Drosophila melanogaster: one gene and its partner. The protein of the gene in region 2 interacts with the protein of the main gene of each other region in a pairwise test. Each region holds a gene or a part of one and is shown on either strand. Other genes may lie near its edges.

The links. The genes of interacting proteins can lie anywhere in the genome.
Region 1: the proteins of dgrn (region 2) and CG15124 interact in a two-hybrid assay, tested with the Drosophila melanogaster proteins (2 studies listed by BioGRID).

The regions. Positions count from the first base shown.
Region 1 is NT_033778.4:19,640,905-19,644,198, reverse strand, and holds CG15124 (uncharacterized protein), read right to left. Parts: upstream 1,253-3,294; 5' UTR 1,162-1,252; coding exon 586-1,161; 3' UTR 501-585; downstream 1-500.
Region 2 is NT_033777.3:5,822,748-5,827,295, reverse strand, and holds dgrn (degringolade), read right to left. Parts: upstream 2,682-4,548; 5' UTR 2,348-2,681; coding exon 2,321-2,347; intron 2,264-2,320; exon of another isoform or gene 2,261-2,263; coding exon 1,852-2,260; intron 1,798-1,851; coding exon 1,708-1,797; intron 1,492-1,707; coding exon 1,058-1,491; 3' UTR 720-1,057; downstream 1-719. Other genes in the region: Sec20 (secretory 20), read left to right, coding at 2,855-2,935, 2,989-3,591.

The sequences.
Region 1 (3,294 bases), on a different chromosome or scaffold from region 2:
ATATTAGTAACTTGCCAGCAAATGGTATTAAAAATACTACCTGAACGGGACACGTAACTCAAGACTATTCTATATAGAGTTTAAAACTCTTGGGACATTTTTTTGAGATCTTTTTGAAACCTTTAAAATTTTTTTTGCTGTGCAGCTACAGATTCAACTCCCCAGGTCCAGCTAAGCGCTGGCTAAGAGAGGAGATGCCTGAGCACACTGTCCAGGACCAGGTCCCTCCTTTAACAGGTCCTAACTATGCAAAGCCATGAAACGCAAGTGTCGCAGGGATTATTCATGGACGGGGAATGAAGATGAAGCGGCCAGCGGGCTGTCAGTGACAGGTAAACGGAGAAAAGGGAAACGGAAGGACACGAAGCAGGAAAAGTCGAGGGGGAAAAAAGATTCCTAGGGATAGGATTTAAGAGAGGAGCACATTACTTAAGGCTAATTTCATTGCTGGAAATTCAACTATTCAATCTCGGAGAGGTGTAATAAAACATTTTGTATTTGCTTTCGCGATAAATATTTATTTTCCAGAATAGTGCGATAATAATTGCATATGAGTGAAACATGTAAAGTTTAAAACAGTCCAAATTAAAAAGTCTTTTTGACGCCTTGGCCGGAACAATGGATGTTGCTTGTCTTATTCTGCCTCTGAGTCTTATGCCAATCCATGATAAAGTCTTTGTTGATCTGGGCGACCCTCTCCAAATAGGCGACACTGCCCATGTCGCTGTCCAAAGCCAGGATTTCGCAATAAAGCGAGCTCAGCTTTATATTGCAACGTTCTACGGCGTCAGACAATTCGACTTCTCTGATTTCCGTCTCGTCTAGGAAATGCAATTTAACTTTCTCCTGATTGGTCACAAAACGAGTCCCTGCACCGGGCTTTTTGATCTCCGAATGCAAATCCAGCAGATACTTCTTAAGCTCTTGCAACGCTGCCATTTTCAGAAGAAGTCTGTCCTTTATGACTTTAAGTGCCTTGCGACATTGCTCTGCAGACACTTCCTGGCGTTTGATTAATTCAGCAATAGAGACATTGGAGTTTTTAGGTTCGGACATGAAAACCTTTATACTGTAAATGGGACGGATATTGTGCAGAGTTATGTTCGGTAAGTCCTTGCAGCTGATTAAGTCTGTAAAGTCGAGCATATTGTCGTTATCCATTCTAATTGATATCAAATTTTAACTTATTTTTCTAGCGGTTTATTTTAATAATTTAAATTTATACGAAGTTTCTCAGAAAGCAATATATGCAATGACTACTTTCCAAAAAAATGCTTTGCTATGTGATCGTTTAATTTCCCTTGTTAATTTCGTATATATAACCAATTTTAAGTTTCCTTTTTTCATGTTTCGTCATCAGCAAACGATGAATTTCTATGGATTCACTTTTAAACTTTTTATCCATCGCAATTTTATTTCATTTTTATTTGCGCTTTTTGCGATTTTTATATGCACTAAAAGTCAATTTATTCACTTGACTTAATTTGATTTCAACCTTCAAATAATCCAATAGAGTTTTTGTGCAGTCGTCCTTCACGGTTGCACCTTGAAAAAGGAGTTATTTCTGTTTTGCTGAAAGGATTGTTTACTTAAATGATTGTCAATTTATAAAAAAGTAGGGATCATGATAAAATAAATAATTCGACAACGATTGTTTAAATGTATATTATCTCATACATGTTTTGATTGCATTCTGTGAACAAAAAATTGTTCCGAAAAGCTAAATTAAATTACCTGTTCATCCTTGTATAATATTACTCATACGCAGTGGATGCCCGGGCCATTGATTTAAATTCAAGAAACTCACGAGCAACAGAAGTTCGAGAGAAGCTGCCGCAATCTCAACTGCCTCATTGTTAACCCGCACTCAATTTCGATTCCCAATATGCTCCACATAACCGAGAGTAGGGCTCGATTCTCTATGCCGGTAATCGTACGTGTGGAAAAGACGTCAGCACTGATTGCTGCATAAATGATTGAGCATGTGTGGTTGTGTGCGCCTGTCTTTCAATCCACATCGATGTGTGCGCTTGTGTAGGGCTGGAATGACTTGCCACAGACGAATCCCACTCACTATCAGCATTCCTCCATGCAACAGGACCTGCATCCCAGCGAAAAGGATGGGGTTGCATTATATGAAAATTGATGGGAAATGCCAAAATATTTAAATCTAATTTTGTGCCAGGCTGACAGGCAGCCAGCATTCGCCGAAGCCGCAGGCATTGCATTTGATTTTGATTCCCGTCCAGTTTTGCCAGCGTATTTGGCGACTTTTGCCCTGGCGAGCATTTAAATATTCAATACGATTATATTTTTAAACACGTAGCCTGGGGAAAAAAAGCCCTGACTGAACGACGGTGAAGAGTCAAATGGAAAAGGAAACTTTATTCAAAAGAAAAAATAAGAGAATATTCCTTGATGAAATAGGATTTTTTCTTTTGGAGTCGATTTTCATTTAACCCGATCAGATTTATTTTCATTTTAAATTGCAGTGAATATAGTTCTTTATGGTGCTAAAGATAATTTTTTATGCACGCTCAAAGTCCTTTAAGAAAAATGTTAATCCCAAGCAAATGAAAAATGAAATGACTTCAAAATTACTTGTCATTTTTGTTACATCAATGAGTGTGGCGAGTAAACAAAACTAAGCAATTTATATTATGAGTGTTAATAAAATATTTATAATATTTTATAAAATCTATGGTTATATTTTAAATAATATGTATCATATATATAAAAGGAAGCCTTAAGCTTTCCAGCCATATTAGTGGGAAACGTGTCCACCATTCACGGTCAACCATTTCCTTACGTTTGCTTCCTGACGCGCTTGAACAGAACTTAAAATAGAATTTAAATACCGGCAAATTGTCTGCCTTGGCACCTGTCTGCCCATTCTGCCCAGGACACCCATTGTCATCCCAAGACCCCCGCCCAACACCATTTTTCGGCCATCCAGCCAGCCAACCGTCCAACGATCCAGCGTCATTCGCATTTGCTATTTCCGTTTTGCACGGCCGTGTTGCTGTGTTGGCATTTCATTTAGCGCACAACTTCACATTTGCCTCAGTCGTTGTCTTTCTGCTGCCTTTTCCCATCGCTTGCAATTGCCATTTCCGCTTCCTGAAATTTGCCATTCGTTACACACAGAAGGACACGCCGACACACATACACAGACAGGCACACATACACACACGTGCGAAAAGGGAAGCACTGAAACCGAAACTTAAACAGAAACAGAAGCAGAAAGCCGCTCCCCGCATGCACCGACATTTTCATTTCCATGCTTGGGCGCAT
Region 2 (4,548 bases):
GGCTCTTCCACTCCAGCAAACTACAAGTGAGCTCTAAGGCTCTTTTAATCAAAGCCATACTTGCTCCAACGTGGAGTTATGCCATCCAGGTGTGGGGAACTGCCGCCAAATCCCAGCTCAATAGGCTCCGTGTCGTCTAGTCGAGAGCTGCACGTCGTGCTTTTGGGCTCCCCTGGTACGTGACAAACAAGGTAATCGAAAGAGATCTGAAAGTTACCCCTCTTGGGGATCAGATTAATTTTCACAGCAGCCGTTATGCCGACAGGCTTATGGTCCACCCGAACCGACTAGCAAATAGCCTATCTAATCCCATCTCCCTCCGAAGGCTGAAGAGGGTACACCCCACCGATCTCCCTACACCCTTACACAATAAGTAATTAATAACTAGATACATTTTCCCTTTTGTACTTAATAATTAAGAAACCACTTGGTCTAATATACCTTTATACACACATAAGGTTAAGTTCAGAGGAATTGACCGAACGATTCCTTTTGGAACCAAAATAAATAGAATGAAGTTTAAAAAAAAAAAAATATATTGTTATATATATACAAAATTGGAGGGAAAAAGTCTCTTTAAAGACACTTCATGTTCCACCTGTTTCCAATTTATCCTGTTTTATCGACCCTTTAATGATCTCAGAATTCCATGTCTGACTTCTGTCTCAAAAAATAGTAGCCAACAATAAAAAATGAGATTGAGACAAACCTGTTGATATGCGTTGGGACCATTTTATTTATTATATTATATGTATGTTACATTGTTAAATTGCGTTTGGAAAAATGCCTACATAATACTTTGACACTCCTTTCGGTCGTTCTTATATTATTCTAGCCTGAGATGGTTTCATACATCAAAAGTGAAGTCTTTAGTTTTTATAGTTGTATTCAAATATTTTTGGGCGCCACTGATTACATAGGACAACTTAAATAACTAATTTTTTCTGAATCACAAGAACAGACATTATTTGCCGTCTCTAACATAGTTAAGCGTTTTTTTTTAAACTATATTATATTAAGGCTCACAGAGCAAAAAATGTGAAATAGTATAAGCAACTTACAAGTAAATGCGAAAGAATTGACGTGCGGTCAGCTTCTTGTTGCATATTGGGCACTTGTGCGTAGCTCTGATGGCTGTTTCGATGCATTCGCGGCAGAAGACGTGTCCACATTTGGTTGACACTGGCTCGCGCTTCGATACACTGTCCATGCAGATGGGGCACTTGTATAACTCCTCTTTTTGGGACTCATCAATGTCGCGATTAACGCGTTTTGGTGGCGACGCAACGTCGAGATCCACTACCGGGTCATTTTCGGCTGACCGACGTGGCAGAATGGTGAGGGAGTCGTTGGAGTGAAGATTCACTGTGCGACTTCTTGGGCCTTCGGGGGTGCATAGATCGATGAAAGCATCGGGATCACGATTCCGAGCGGATCGAACAGGTGGTGCACGGTCCAAATGGGACAGATCTATCACTTCTACTGGACTCGCTACGGAAAAAGTAAGAAACGGTATTCGGTTTATTGCTAGCTCTATCCGCGAAAGCTATCTGGTTTTCACAAAATTTTAAAAAATATAGATAAATTTTGCCTTCAAAAGTAAGTAACCCGGCAGGGTTATAGAAAGAACTATGTCATTGGTTATTGTGGAATTAAAAACATTGTTCATTGTGAAACCCAGATGCGTTCATTTTGATCTGCACTTACTTCTGCGGCGAATTCTACGAGTTGTTGGCGTTGAGGTTCTCGTGGCGAAGGTGTCAATCTGTGCCACAACTTCCTCGCAGTAGCGATTCACTGAAATATGAAACAATTAACAGAAAACTTCGTAATGATTATGGAGTGACATACTGCGATCCAACTCTGCTTCCATCTGGATCACATCCTGGGTAAGTGATCTGATCTGCGAATGAGCATCTTCAGTCGAGACAGACAAGTTAGCCATATTTAAGGGGTTATTGCTTTGCGGTGACTGCAGTTGGTTTGAAGCTTCTCCGACTGAAGATTCGCTGGTATTGGTGGCTGAAGATGAGTCTGATTCCACAGATAAATCACGCTCCACTGGGGATGGGCGTTCCAAGGACGAATGGGAATCAGCGGATGAATCAGATTCCGCGGATGACTGAGATTCCACGGATGTATTGTGTCCCGAATTGGATTCTATGGATGAATGGGAGTCCACAGAAGAGTCGGATACACTGGAATTGGAGCTCGAACTGGATACGTTGCTGTCCGCTGACTGATCAAGAATGGATGAGTTCTACTAAATAAATCAATCATAAATCGGAATTAACTAGTTTAAAGTCCAGGGTATACTTACAAAACGGAAAATAGTCGAATCTGACATTGTTCGAGCAACAAATGACCAGGAAACTTGTGAAATGATTTCGTAGTAAAGACAAAAGCAGGTGAACCCAGATATACATGTGCTTTAGTGCAGATTGAAATGTGCAAAATAGTTTCCTCCTTTCACGCGACCATTCGGTTATTTTAAAGATGACACTTTACGGACATTCGGGAACAAGGATTTAAGATCGACTATCGATTTTTGCGGTATTATACAATGCTGTTTAGAATGACACTTGTAATTCAATAAAAATCAATAATTTATTAAAAATAAAATTTCCGTTTCGGCGAAATTCTTTGATAACAAAATAATTATAAGAAATGTATATAAATATGTCGACATTACAAAACCATACCATCACTATGTAAACGATATTTTTTAGGCGATTAAATGCCATCGATATATACCGTGCCGTGGTAGTGTTAGAAAATTGCGGGAATTAACGTTAAATGCACGTCACCAAAGCAGAATAATAGAATATTTTCGAAACAAAACAAAGTTGGAGACATGGACAAGGATGCGTTTACATTACAGGCCATACGGCAGGACCTTATCGATAACAATCTGCAGGCTAAGGCAATAATACACGTAAGTCTCCGCTATCTGAAGAGAAACCCTCATTACCGAGCTTCTGTTTTTAGGACATCCTGAACAGCCGCACCTCCATCGCCGAACTCGAGGAGCTGAACGAAGCGGGCCGCTCCAAACTGTCTGCTATCCGCAAAAGCATCGAGCGGCTGGACGACTGGGCGCGGGACACGGCAGACTCTGCGCTGGCCAATGAAGTGGACGACCACCGTGATCAGTTCTCCAAAACGCTGCAGGCGTTCCGAAAAGCAAACGTGTCCACGATGCTGGAGATCGAGAAGGCCAATCGGGAGGAGTTAATGGCCATTACCGGCGAGAGTGAGCTACGCCAACGAACCACAACACGGGCGCGGCACAACCAGGGCAGTCTGGTTTCGCAGGAGAACGACGTGACCGAGAAGATGCTGGCTATATCGCGGCACCTCTCGGAGACCACCCAGAAGAGCGCCATCACCCTGGAAACGCTCGTGGCCTCGTCGCAAAATGTGGAGGCCACCAGCGACGAACTGCACCACACGGCCGGCAGCATTAGCATGTCCGGCAAGCTGCTCAAAAAGTACGGACGACGCGAGTGCACTGACAAAATGCTGCTCTTCTTCGCCTTCTCCTTGTTCCTCGCCTGTGTCTTTTACATCGTCCAAAAGCGACTCTTCTAAGACTCCACAAATGGACAAAACCCGTTCCCAAAATAGCTTAAGGTTGTCGCTTCTGTTGTCTAGGTATAGCTAGATTAAGCTTAGCACATGACCATACCTTGTAAGCACAGCTCCTATATTTATATTATTTAGTGATTTGCCTAAGTTGTAAACGTGGTACAGCCAAAGACCCTAGAATAACAAGATGCGTAACGCCATACGATTTTTTGGCACACGATTTTTTGGCCGTGGCTCTAGAGGTGGCTCCAGGCTCTCTCGAATTTTTGTTAGAGAGCGAGAGAGCGAAGAGCGCTACAGCGAACAGCTCTTTTCAACGCACAAAGTGATAGCAGACATCTGTATGTGTGCACACGTATTCACATGCATTGTAAATTTGACAAAATATGCCCTTCACCTTAGAAGTTCTTTGGCTTTAAATCTATATTATTTTTTATCAATTGGCACCATGCGAAAAATTCTTGTTTTGCATTGCCTTAACGTTATTATTATTTGAAAATAGATTAGAAATAGTCAAATCTATGTACATATTATCACAAAAATAAATTTCAAAAATGAATTTATATAAGAATATTTGTCATTAGAGTATTCATCTTGCGGCGTGTGAAAAATTAATAAGGCAATGATTGTTGAGTGCTTGTGTCCGCACTTCGTGCCTCAAGATATGAACAAAGCAAAGACACTAGAATAATTCTATTGTCTTTGATATTACTTTTGCAATTTAATTTAATTGCATATTTAATTATTTAGTATATTTATTAAATCATTTGACTTAATATGATGTAACATTAACATTAAAAGTGTTTCAAAAAAAATATTTCGGTTTTAAAAAATTGTCAGATGAGAGACAAATTAGAATTAAACATAAATACAAATGTGTAAACGGTAGCTAATTCGAGCGGCGATTTTAACAAAGAAATTTAAAAAAGCTTTAAAATTATAATAGCCAGGGCGCGAATT